Linked DNA regions of Notamacropus eugenii. The protein of the gene in region 1 interacts with the protein of each later gene in a pairwise test. Links are inferred from orthologs where the notes say so. Each region holds a gene or a part of one and is shown in the gene's direction. Other genes may lie near its edges. The genes, in order: XRCC4, APLF and APTX.

Evidence for each region.
Region 2: the proteins of XRCC4 (region 1) and APLF interact in binary tests that used the Homo sapiens proteins (3 or more experiments, as listed by UniProt). The link is inferred for Notamacropus eugenii from reciprocal best matches to the Homo sapiens genes XRCC4 and APLF.
Region 3: the proteins of XRCC4 (region 1) and APTX interact in binary tests that used the Homo sapiens proteins (3 or more experiments, as listed by UniProt). The link is inferred for Notamacropus eugenii from reciprocal best matches to the Homo sapiens genes XRCC4 and APTX.

Annotation. Positions count from the first base shown.
Region 1 is NC_092875.1:460,070,096-460,073,843, reverse strand, and holds the start of XRCC4 (DNA repair protein XRCC4), read left to right. Parts: upstream 1-840; 5' UTR 841-973; intron 974-1,561; coding exon of another isoform or gene 1,562-1,564; exon of another isoform or gene 1,565-1,859; intron 1,860-2,082; exon of another isoform or gene 2,083-2,543; intron 2,544-3,748. Other genes in the region: TMEM167A (protein kish-A), read right to left, coding at 1,562-1,564.
Region 2 is NC_092872.1:635,105,613-635,109,360, reverse strand, and holds the start of APLF (aprataxin and PNK-like factor), read left to right. Parts: upstream 1-992; 5' UTR 993-1,017; coding exon 1,018-1,113; intron 1,114-3,748. UniProt on the Homo sapiens protein: Histone chaperone involved in single-strand and double-strand DNA break repair.
Region 3 is NC_092874.1:312,851,017-312,854,764, forward strand, and holds the start of APTX (aprataxin), read left to right. Parts: upstream 1-855; 5' UTR 856-910; coding exon 911-1,028; intron 1,029-3,748. UniProt on the Homo sapiens protein: DNA-binding protein involved in single-strand DNA break repair, double-strand DNA break repair and base excision repair.

The DNA of each region.
Region 1 (3,748 bases):
TCTACCATACGACTCCACAAGGCAGATTTCCCATCTCTTCACAGAACTGACTAGAAGTGCATATTCAGGGATGGTCAATGTGTGGATTTCTTTTTACCTGATTATGCTAACTTGTTATATAACAAGATATTTGTTTGTTTGCTCCGTGGGGGAGAGAATGAGAATGGTAATAGCAATGTCAAAAAATACAAGAGCACAAGAGAAGCACTGAAAGAAAATGCAAAGAGGTTCAGAGAAACACCGACAAGCAAAGCAGCTTTGGAACATGCTGAATTAAAGAAAAACAAACAAGTGATTCATAACGATATTCAAAGCTTCATATACAATTCTATTTCTTTCTTAAGCTGTGTCAAGTTTAGAATTGCAATTTTTTAAAAAAAAGTCAACCACTAGACAACTTCCCAGAGCTACCTTTAAATCTGTTAGAGGATCAAGTTTATTTATCATCACAGAGAATCTTAACCTACAATAGTGTATCTAGCAATGTAAAATCTGGGTAGAAAAAAATAGTCAGGACTCACTATTTAGCTATTAAACTGGAAATGCTGAACTTCTACCCAAGGTACGGTACTGGCTGGAGTCAGGACAACTTTTCAGGTTACAAGGATTGAAGCCTTCTTTTGTAAATATGTTGGCTTTAAAAAACAAACAAAGATTTCATTGGCTGAACAGGGAATTAATTTCTAGTAAGGAAACTCCCTCTGCCAATCTAGAGCAGTACCAGCTATGTAATTTACGGTATTTTTCAGTTCCTTTGGAGACACCGGGGGTCACACATCCAGTGGGAGTCAGAGATGGGGCAAATACACAGCAAAATCTTTTGGTGTTTAATCTAACTGACAAATACTACGTATAAGAAGCTTCATATGAGATCCTCCCACCACTCAAATACTTGTTATGCCTTCATCGGTTCAAGATTTATTTTGACGTCACTTCCAGATGAGGCGTCCCCTAAGGAGGCTTCACCTTTTACGTAAGCAGGTTTGGGGGGCAGGCAGGCAAGGTCACTTCAGTGACGGACACCTTGGGGGTGCACCACTGCCTGTGGGGGGATGGTACAAACAAATAGCTCTTTCAGCCCGCGCTGGGGCCTGAAAAGTCTTCCCTAGACGGTGCCCGGGTGAGGACGGGAAAGGAAAACCGGCAGAGAAAACCCGGGAGCCTAAAGCCCCGAAGACAAACCGCGCCACGATCGGGCCTCTCCCACCGGGCCGGGGACGCTCTCAGCGGCTATTTTTAAAGGCCTCCGCGGGCGGGGGGCATCTCTGGGCAGCGCCGGGCCCCGCGCTCCGCCGGCGCTCTGGGACGCCGGTAGCCGGGCGCGGGGGGCTTCTCCTCGTCCTTCTCCTCCCCGCCCCCCTCCCCGTCTCTCGGCCCTCTCTTTTCTACCCTTTCCAGAAACCCTTCGTTCGGGGGTTCGGGGAGGGGCACCTCGCTGCCTCCCCTCGCGGGTCTCCCCGTCTGCGCACCGGAGCCCGCCCCGGGTCCCGTCACCCCCGTGCCTCGGGGCCACCCCCTGCCCACCGCCCGCACCAAGTCAGCCCCGAGCGCCGGGTCTTACCATAGTGAGACCTCCGCTACCCCCAGCCACATCACCCTTCCGGGGCAACGGGCGGAAGAGGCGTTGGGCCCCGCCCCCTCCGTCTGGCCTCGTTCCCCACGCTTCCCGATGATTGGTCCGAGGTAGGAAAGCGCTTCACGCGCTGCGAGGCTGCGGCGGCGCGGTTGGTCGAGAATGGAGGGGAGGGGCCGCTCGGGTAGTGACGCCATGGGAGAAGGGCCCTTCTGATTGGCCGCGGCTCTTTCTGCCTCGGGAGCGGGCCTTTTGGAGGAAGCCGGAAGTGGAGGCTCTGAACGAGGTAGGGCCCGGAAGCGGGGGTGTCCCAGCGAGCCTGGTCTTTGCTGATCGCCGTCGGGTTTGGACTCCCGGGGGCTGCCCCAGTTTATTTCCCCAGTCCCTCCAGCTCCTTCTCGAGCTGGCTTCCCATTCTTCGCTGCCCCTCCCTCTGCTTCGGAAAGCGTCAGCAGCCCCAGTCTTCTCCGGGCCTGGGCAGAGTCCTTTCCCCTTATTCCCCTGGGCTGGCCTCATTCTTCCCTCCGGGCTTCGGAATCCAGGCCGGGGGGAGGGGGGCGGAATTAGAGAGTTTAAGGAGAGATTTAATTGGTTGAGATCCCGGTCAGGTGTGGGCGAATCGTAGGGCAGAGGAATTAAGCAATTTTTTAAGCACTTACTGTAGGCCCGTCGTTGTGGCTAAGACCCGAGATACGTAGAAACCACCCCCAAGTTCTGTGGTTCTTGCCCTGAAATAGCTCCAAGGCGCGTGTAGAAACAATATATCCATGACTACAATGTATCCATGACTAGCTACATTTAAGAGCTCTGCGGCGTGCGTGGAGAGAAATCCCAGAGGCTTGGGGCTGATGGCCCCAGGGAATGGAGATCCTGCAGAACGTTTGAGCTGCAGGACAATCTAGGGATCTAGGTGAGAAAGGAGAATATTTCCAGCGTGGGGACCGCTCGGGTGGAGACACTGAGATGGAAGGTAGGGTGTTCTGTGGGAGGAACCCCAAGAAAGCCAGCATGGCTGGATCATTCAGTTCCGGGACGGTAGTGAAGTAAAGCAGAAAAGAACCGACATATGAATTGCTTTGGTTGCCAAACAGAAGACTTTATTCGATCCTACGGGTAATAGGAAGTCGAGAGAAGGGGGTGACAAATAATGTAGAAGAAGAAATGACAGGGTTTGGCAGTGGGGTGGGGACATGATTGAGAGGGATAAAGTCTAGAATGGCTTTGAGCTTGCAAACTTGAGGGACTAGGAAGCTGGTAGTGTCCTCAACAGTTATAAGGAATTTCAGAAGATGTGGATTTTAGGGGGAAAGATAACTTAGTTTTAGATACGTTGAGTTTGAGACGCCTTTAGCACATCCAGTTCAAAATGTGGAAGTGGAGCTATGGAGATAACTGAGGGCTGTATATATAGATCTGGGAATTATCTGCAAGGCTGAAAATTGAATCCATGGATGCTGATGAAGATCAACAAGTGAGATTGTATAGAGAGCTCAGGACAGAGATGTGAGGGATACCCACATTTAGTAGAAGTAAGGGACGGAAATCCAGCAAAGGAGATTGAAGAGTGAAGGAAGGAGAAGAAACAGGAGAGAGCAAGGTATGAAAACTTAGGAGAGTATGAAAAAGAAGGAAGTTACCAACAGTGTCACATGTGGTAGAGAGGTCAAGAAGGATGAAAACAGGAAAGATTAGATTTGGCAATTAAGAAATCATTGGCAACTGGAGAAAAGTTTTACTTGAATGATGTATTTGGAAGCCAGATTGCAGTGGGTTTAGAAGAGAGTGAGAATTACTTGTTCAGTGCTATGTTAACCAAACTGCCAAAAAATAATAGAGCTAGAAAAAATAATAATTCATTTGGAAGAACAAAAGGTGAAGAATATCAAGGGAATTAATGAAAAAAATGCAAAGGAAGGTGGCCTAGCCCTACCAGATATCACACCATATTATAAAGCGGTAATTATCAAAACATTTTGGTACTGGCTAAGAAATAAGAGTGGTGGATCAGTGGAACAGATTAGGTACACAGTACTATAGTAATCTAGTGTTTGATAAACCCAAGGAACTAAGCTTTTGGGGCAAGAGCTCACTATTTGACAAAAAACTGCTGGGAAAATTGAAAAGTGGTAAGGCAGAAACTAAGGATACACCAACATCTTGTATCTTTTACTAAGA
Region 2 (3,748 bases), on another chromosome or scaffold:
CGTCACTGAAAGCTACAAAGTATCCTAGGTCTGTCCTTTCGCAGTAAGGGGGACACCGGGCAACCACTTAACTGCTCTGAGTTTCTTTTGAGTTCCTCACCTATAAATCAGGTGTAAATTTTCCCCGCAGCACGTGCCCCACCGCAGGGTGAGACAAAGCACTTGGTAAGCTTTAAGATGCCATTAAAAAAACAAAAACCCGGCAAAGTTACCTCCCCCCGCCTGCCCCGCCCTCCTTCCGCAGAGGGTGTCAGTCCTGGGCCGATGACAGCCCCAGGAAGGACCGGGCGCAAGCCCTCGGGGAGAGATCAGTCACCAGCCCCGAGGAGTGGAGACACACGCCTACTCCTCGGTCGCCCCCCGCCCCGGGCCGCCTTATAACTGGGGAGTTTGACAATGACCGAAACAACCACGGTCCCCATCAACTGTCACCGAAGCTTGGGAGCCGGCGCGTCAGGCTCGCAGCATTCGCTGGCAAAGGCGGGACGCGTGGGCTGCCAGGAAATTCGGGTCCCCTACCTGCTTGGGGCTAGGGCAGCCGTTACACGGCCCCCCCTCCCTACAGTGCTAACGGCCGTTTAAATGCTTCGGAATTCGAATCCAACCCCATCTTGCCAGCTTGCTCTACGCCCCGCCCACTTCGTCGTGCCAGACGCCTTCTTTCTGCGCAGGCGCAAAAGCGAGCTGCACAGCGCCTGCTGGGAAGAGTAGTTTTTAGAGTTCCAATTGGACAAGAATGAGAACGGAAGGCGGCAGAGCTAAAGACTACAAGAACCAGAGCCGCGGGGAAGTCGCGATGGGGGTGGACACGTATGAGGCTTGCAAACCTTTGGATTGGCTGCTGAGGGGAATCCCGGCTCGTCATGGGGCGGGGTCAGCAAGAGGGTGTCTCCCGTGTTTTGGCGTTCGTGTTTCAGCGGTGCTCCAGGGTATTATCCCGCAAAGGGGTCCTTCAGTCCGCAGGCCGGTGAGGCGTCGCCGTGCGAGGCCGAGGCTTCGGCCGAAGCTGCTCTCGTCATGGCCGGGGGATTCGAGCTAGCGCCGGCATCTGGCGGCCCGCGGGTGGCCCTGTCGCCCGGGGAGACGGTGATCGGACGCGGGCCGCTGCTGGGTGTAAGTGTACGAGCAGCCCCCCCGCCCCGGGCGCGCCGCGGCTCGGCTCGCCCACCCTGCCCTGGCGCTTTGCCTTCCGATCGGGGTGGGCGCGTGCTGCCCAACTAGCCCCGCCGTCCCTTTAAACAGGCCAGAAAGTGTCTTCCGCTGGGGGCGATGACGCCTGGGTGAGCCAAGTGTTTGCAAACTTCGTTGAGCCTCCCAAGTGTGCGTTGCTGTTTTCACCTTTTTTTTTAAACCAAGGCTTTGTCACTTTGTATCCTCGATGCTGCGGTGCGCACGAAAAGTTTTATCCACAGACCCCCCAAACCGCATGATACACTTGTAATTTTAGTCTGCACTGTTAACATTTTCTCCGTTACTCTAGTCCACAGAAGCAACAAAACAAGACACCAAGCCCTGATTGAAGTGTTTGCCAGATTTCTGAGATGTCCATCGGATCTCTGCTCCAGCAGCACCTTTGCTTTTGTAGCACCTAGGTGTAGGCACTTTGTATGATAGAGCGCTGAATTTGGAGTCAGAAAGACCTGAGATGAAATCCTGACAAAGATGCTTATTAGCTGGGTGATCCCGGGCGGCTCACTTAACCTGTTTGCCTCAGTTTCCTTATCCGTAAAATAGGCATGCTGATAGCTCACTGGGTTGTTATGAGAATCAAATGAGATAACACGTGTAAAACCACTTTGCAAAACTTAAAAAGTGTTATATATGACATATATACTGTATTATATATAGTGTATATAATATATATTATATAAGTGTTATACGTACCCACACATATGTATACACACGCATATAAATAAATGCTCACTGTGAGAGAGGTTTGGGATCTAGAAATGAGTAAATTATGCTCTTTATCTTCCATTTGATTTATTAGAAACTTACCCTCTTATCTATCTTTGCATAGGATTGTTTTAATTAGTGCCAAACGGCATTTAGTCCAGTGTTCTTATTTTGCAAATGGGAAAACTGAGATGTAGAGAAAGTGACTGAGTGAATAATTGGCAAAGGTAGGCGTGAAGTCTGGTAAGCTTCAAGGTTTGCAAAATCCTTAATAAGTATTATCTCATTTGATCCTCAGTCCTGTGAGGTAGATGCTATTATTACCCCTATCTTACAGATAAAGAAACAGAGGTAAAAGATTTAGTGATTTAGGGTCACACAGCTAGGAAGTACTTGAGGCAAGATTTGAACTCAGGTTTTCTTGATTCCTAACTTTGTGCTTTATGCTTTGTCCACAAAACTTCTTGTTCAAAAAGCAAAGATGAAAGGTGCTTTTAAGAAACCAATTGTCCATTGTCATGAAATATTAGAGCTGGAAGGGTAGTCGTTAGAGATGATCTAGTTCCACTTGCTTATTTTCCAGATGATGTAATTGAGAACTAGAAAGGTTAAGTATGTCCGAAGTTACAGCTAGTAGTACCAGGGGCAAAATTGGGACTGTCACTGTAGTATGACTCCCAAGTCCAGTATTGTTTCCCCCATTTTATTACTAACCAAGAATTTTGCCCACTTTCGAGAATTTAAACAATTTCTCTGCATAGATATCCCAACAGATGCAAGTATTGAATGGATGAGAGAGAAGTTTTTGTTCTTTTTTTATAAAGAAAATAAAAGGGACTTGGTTTACATCTGCTAAACTCCATTCAAAGGTGCTAAGCTTTTCTTCCAAAGACTTTGTACTCAACTTTCAAATCACAAAAACATTTATTAAGTTATTACTGTGTACAAGACGTTGTGCCAGGTAGTTAGTATACAAGGACAAAAATAATTTCTTCCATAATCTACACAACAACATAATACAAATCAATTTGAGACTGGTGAATGAATACAATTTAGGACTATCAGGAAAGTCTTCACAAAGGAAATGGAACCTGAGAAGCAGTAATGTAAAGGAAGTGGATTTTAGGCACCTGGAATAACATGTACAAATGACTCGAAGCAGGAAATAAGCTTTGAGGAATAGTTAACTAGTTCCTGTTTTCTAGTGTAAAGGAAATCAAATTAGAATTTTTTTGTGGTTTTTGTTGTCCTAAAAGTGCCTCTGATTGAATAATGTGATTGGGAGGATTTTTCCCACCCATTGATGGGCCTGCCCTTTGTGGGAAGCTTGATTATGGGAATAGTTTTGTAGGAGGGTCCCAAGTGCCTTTTGTTTTTTCTCGAGTCACTGGGTTAGAGGGTTATGCCCTCTGGCCCTAAAAAGTGCATAAATACTCTGAGGGTGAGATTTTACTTTGGGGTTTACTGACTGGAAGTGTTTGTTTGGCCAGATGATGACTCTGGGCTACAGCTTTAAGGAGCCCCCCCACCCCCTGCTTTGAAAACCCAGATGTCATTTTCTGGTAATTATGGTCAGACAGCTATCTGTCAAGTTATGGTCAGACAGAAGAAGCCATATCTGTTTATTACTTTGGGAATTAGGGTGTTGGCTCCCCTAAACTAGGTGAATGATGTATGTGCTTGACTAAAGGATTGATACATGTGCTTGATTAAAGTGATTGTTAACCCCGCAAAAGTTTTCTTTCCTTTTATGAATGCAGGTGAATGTGATGGCAAGTCCCCTTGGGTATGTTGGGTTACTTACTGTTAACTTCCAATTTGACTAGAATGGAGGGTTTGCAAAGGGGATTTA
Region 3 (3,748 bases), on another chromosome or scaffold:
GCGCGGCTGCACGGGCCTCCAGCCCAGGCCGGCCGGGAAAGCTCCCGCCTCTCGGGGTACAACCGTGCCGACGTAAGCAGTGATCACGGGAGCGCGAGGCTAGGCGTCCCCTCCCGCGTCGGGGCTTAGGACGCGGACACGCCGGGCGCGAGGGGGCCGCCTCCCCGGGCTCGCGGGCCTCGGAGCCTCACGGAGACAAGGCCCTTGCTATTCACGCCGGAGGGACTTTTACAACCCCTTCGAAAGTGCCCGGAGGGCGGCAGAGAGGAGAAAGAGGAACGAAGCGGAGAAAAGAGTGGAAAGAAAGGAAAAGGCCCGGCCAGCGCCCCGGGCGGAACGCCCGCCTCCCCTCCGTGATCCTGCGTCTGCTGCGAGGATTGGCCGAGAGCGCCACAAAAGGGAAGGGGCGGGACCGCCCTTCCTGGCCAATCCCGCGTAGCGAACGCTGCGGTCGCTTCCTTGTGACGTCATTTTAGTGCGCTGTCCTGCTGGGGGAGGGGCTGGGAAAAGGGGGATCCGGAATTCGACCGGAAGTGCCTGCCGAAGGAAAGCTTTGCCGTTTTCCTGGAGACAGTTTCATTAACATCCGAAGAGGTAAGCTGCCAGCCTGGTCGTGGCTTCTGCCCTTTCTGTGGCAGTGTCTGGGGCTGACCGGTGTGGAGGGGGCGGGGCGCTCATCTCCCTGGGAAATGGGACCGAGAGGGGGAGGAGGAGAAGCGAGGGTGGGCCCTGCGGTGCCACCCCGGAGCCGGGGGCGTCCCTCTCCGAAGGGGCCCTCGGACCTCTGGCGGTCCATTCGGGAAACACCTTCCGGGGCCTGCTGGAATAGAACGAACGTGGTTGCCTCGACTGTGTGTGACCAAGCAACCAGTACTTTTAGAATTGGAATTAAAGTCAGCCACCAAAGTGTATGGGTGTCGTGGGGGGCGGGGAGAGGCACGGCACCCATCCTCGCAGGAGTTTACGACGTAAGAGAGGAAGATGGTCTGAGTTATTCCATGGCTACGTAGAGAGAAGTGCGAGCAGTGGTAGGAGAAAGCGCCCGGGGGCCTCGAAGGAGGGGGAGGGGCCTTATGTTCTTCTAAATACGAGGTGCGCGATGTCCAGGAGCAGAGCGAGACAGGACGGGGCTGAAGGTCTGCAATGAGAATGTAGGCCGGAATGAACGGAGCCTTAGAGCTCGCCTTCATTTTACATCCAGGGTCACTCACACGACAAGTCCATTGAAGAGTCTGAATTAGTGCTGTATGGGAATCGAGGTTGGCGAGTCCATGTCATGGCGTGCTTCGAGTGCCAAAATGAGGAGTTTAAACTTCATCCCATAGGTCGAGAGTTGGCTACCTACTTGAGACACACTTTGAGAAGAAGAGAGTTTTGGGGGTTTTTTAGATAACTAATTTTTAATATTCTCTTCCATAAGACGTTGAGTTTTGCATTTTCTCCCCTCTCCTTCCCCCTCCCCAAGATGGTACGCAGTCTAATATAGACTCTATTTATACCTTCATATTAAGCATATTTTCACGTTAGTCATGAGGTAAAGAAGAGTCAGAACTAATGGAACTAGGAGAAAGAAGAAACAAAACAACCAAAGAAAAGGAGTGCAAATAGGACGCTTCCACTCCCTTCAGACTGGATTCTTTCTCTGGTTGTGGACAGCGTTTTCCGTTGTTGATCTGGAGTTGTCTCAGATCCTTGGTTGCTGAGAAGAGCTACCTAAGTCTTATCAAAGTCAGCCCTCCAGCGGCGTGCCTGGTACCATGGCCAGCGCTCTCCGGGTTCTGCTCATTCCACTCAGCATCAGTTCATAGAAGTCTTCCCAGGTTTTTCTCCTGCTCATCACTTCTTACAGTGCAGTAGCGATTCCATTACACCCATAGACCACAACCTGTTCAGCCATTCCCCAGTTGATGGACGTCCTCTCGATTTCCAGTTCTTGGCCACCACAAAAAGAGCTGTTATAATTATTTTTGTACCAAAGGGCCCAAGGCCGTTTTCTCCTTTTTATGATCTCTTTGGGATACAGACCTAGAAGCGATATTGCTGGGTCAAAGGGTGTGCACATTTTTGGAGTTCTTTGGGCATGGTTCCAAATTGCTTTCCAGAATGGTTGGATCAATTCACAACTCCGCCAACATTGTATTAGGGTTCCAATTTTCCCACATTTTCTCCAATATTTACTATTGATTTGCATTTCTCTAATCAGTAGTGATTTAGAGCATTTTTTCATGTGACTATATAGATAGCTTCAGTTTCCTCCTCTGAAAACTGCTTGTTTATATCCTTTGACCATTTATCAATTAGGGAATGACTTATATTCTTATAAATTCAACTCAGTTCTCTATATAGTTTAAAAATGAAGCCTTTATCAGAGTCATTGGCTGTAAAAATTGTTTCTCAGCTTTCTGTTTTTCTTCTCATCTTAGTTGCAGTGGCTTTGTTTGTGCAAAAACTTTTTAATTTAATGTACTCAACATCATCCATTTTGCATTTCACAATGTTCTCTCTCTCTTGTTTGGTCATAAGTCCTTCCCTTCTCCATAAATCTGACAAATAAACTATTCTTTGCTCTCCTAATTTAATTACAGTATCAGTTTTTATTTAAATTGACGAAAGTTTTGAAGGGAGGGAAGAGCTAATTTTGGAGTTTGGTGGATTTGGGTAAACCATAAACAATAAGAAGTTAGGGCAGGAAAAATCAAGACAGCTAATCAGTCTGAGAAGATAACTATTCACACTGTGTTGCCATTCATCTTGCAGGCTCTAGGCTAGTAGTTGTGAAGAACTTGAGATTTTGGAAGACCAGAAGGCAGAATGAGGACTTTAGTCTTCTTGAGGGTAGGAGATAAAGGGGCAGGAGTTAAGAGATGAAAAAGAAACAAGCATTTATGAAGAGCCTACTATATGTCAGGTACTATACGAAAGTCATTGCAATTATTATCTCATTTGAGCCTCGCAACAGCCTTGGGGGGTAGGCTCTAATATTATCTCCACTGGTGACTTATACTAGTTTTATTTCCAGTAGAGTAGAGGAAATAGAAACCAGAGTGAGAAAGGGTACCTATGATTTGTTGAATGAACAAAGAGAGAAATAAATGCACCATTTTAAGGATACTCCTATAAGGTGTTCAGTCATGAAAGGAAGAACAGAAATAGTATGGTTACTTAAGAGGACTACTTAGGGTCAAGGGAAGGTTTAGTTGGTTGTTTGTTTTTGAGGAAGGAGAAGACCTGCGTGTCCTTGAAGACAAAGGAAAGGAGCCAGCAATGAGAAGGATTGAAGCAGCTTGACAGAAAGGGAACTATGGAATATAGGTTATAGAACAGGAAGGGCCCAACCGCCTCATTTTATAATTGAAACTGAGACCCAGAGTGGTTAAGTGACTTGCTCAGATCTCCAAGTACTAACTAAGATTTGTACCTAAGACCTCTAATTTCAAATCCTTCATTCCATTTTTTTAAAAAGTGAAGGCTTGAAAAAAAACTTTTTGAAAGGGTGGAATTCAGTGGAGGGATGGTAAAATAGGTTTGATAATTTGTACCATAGATGATTAAGGAGTTGAAAGAGTCTAAAATATTATTGAGGGTTATATTGAAGTGAATGATCATGTTGGGCTAGGAGATGTGAATGAGGGAGGTTGAGTGAATTGGAAGCAGTCAAGTGATTAGATATCCCTAAGGTATATAAAAAGATCTTAGTACCTTAGAGCTTGGGTCCCAGTTCTTGGAATATTTGGAGTTACTGTAAGGG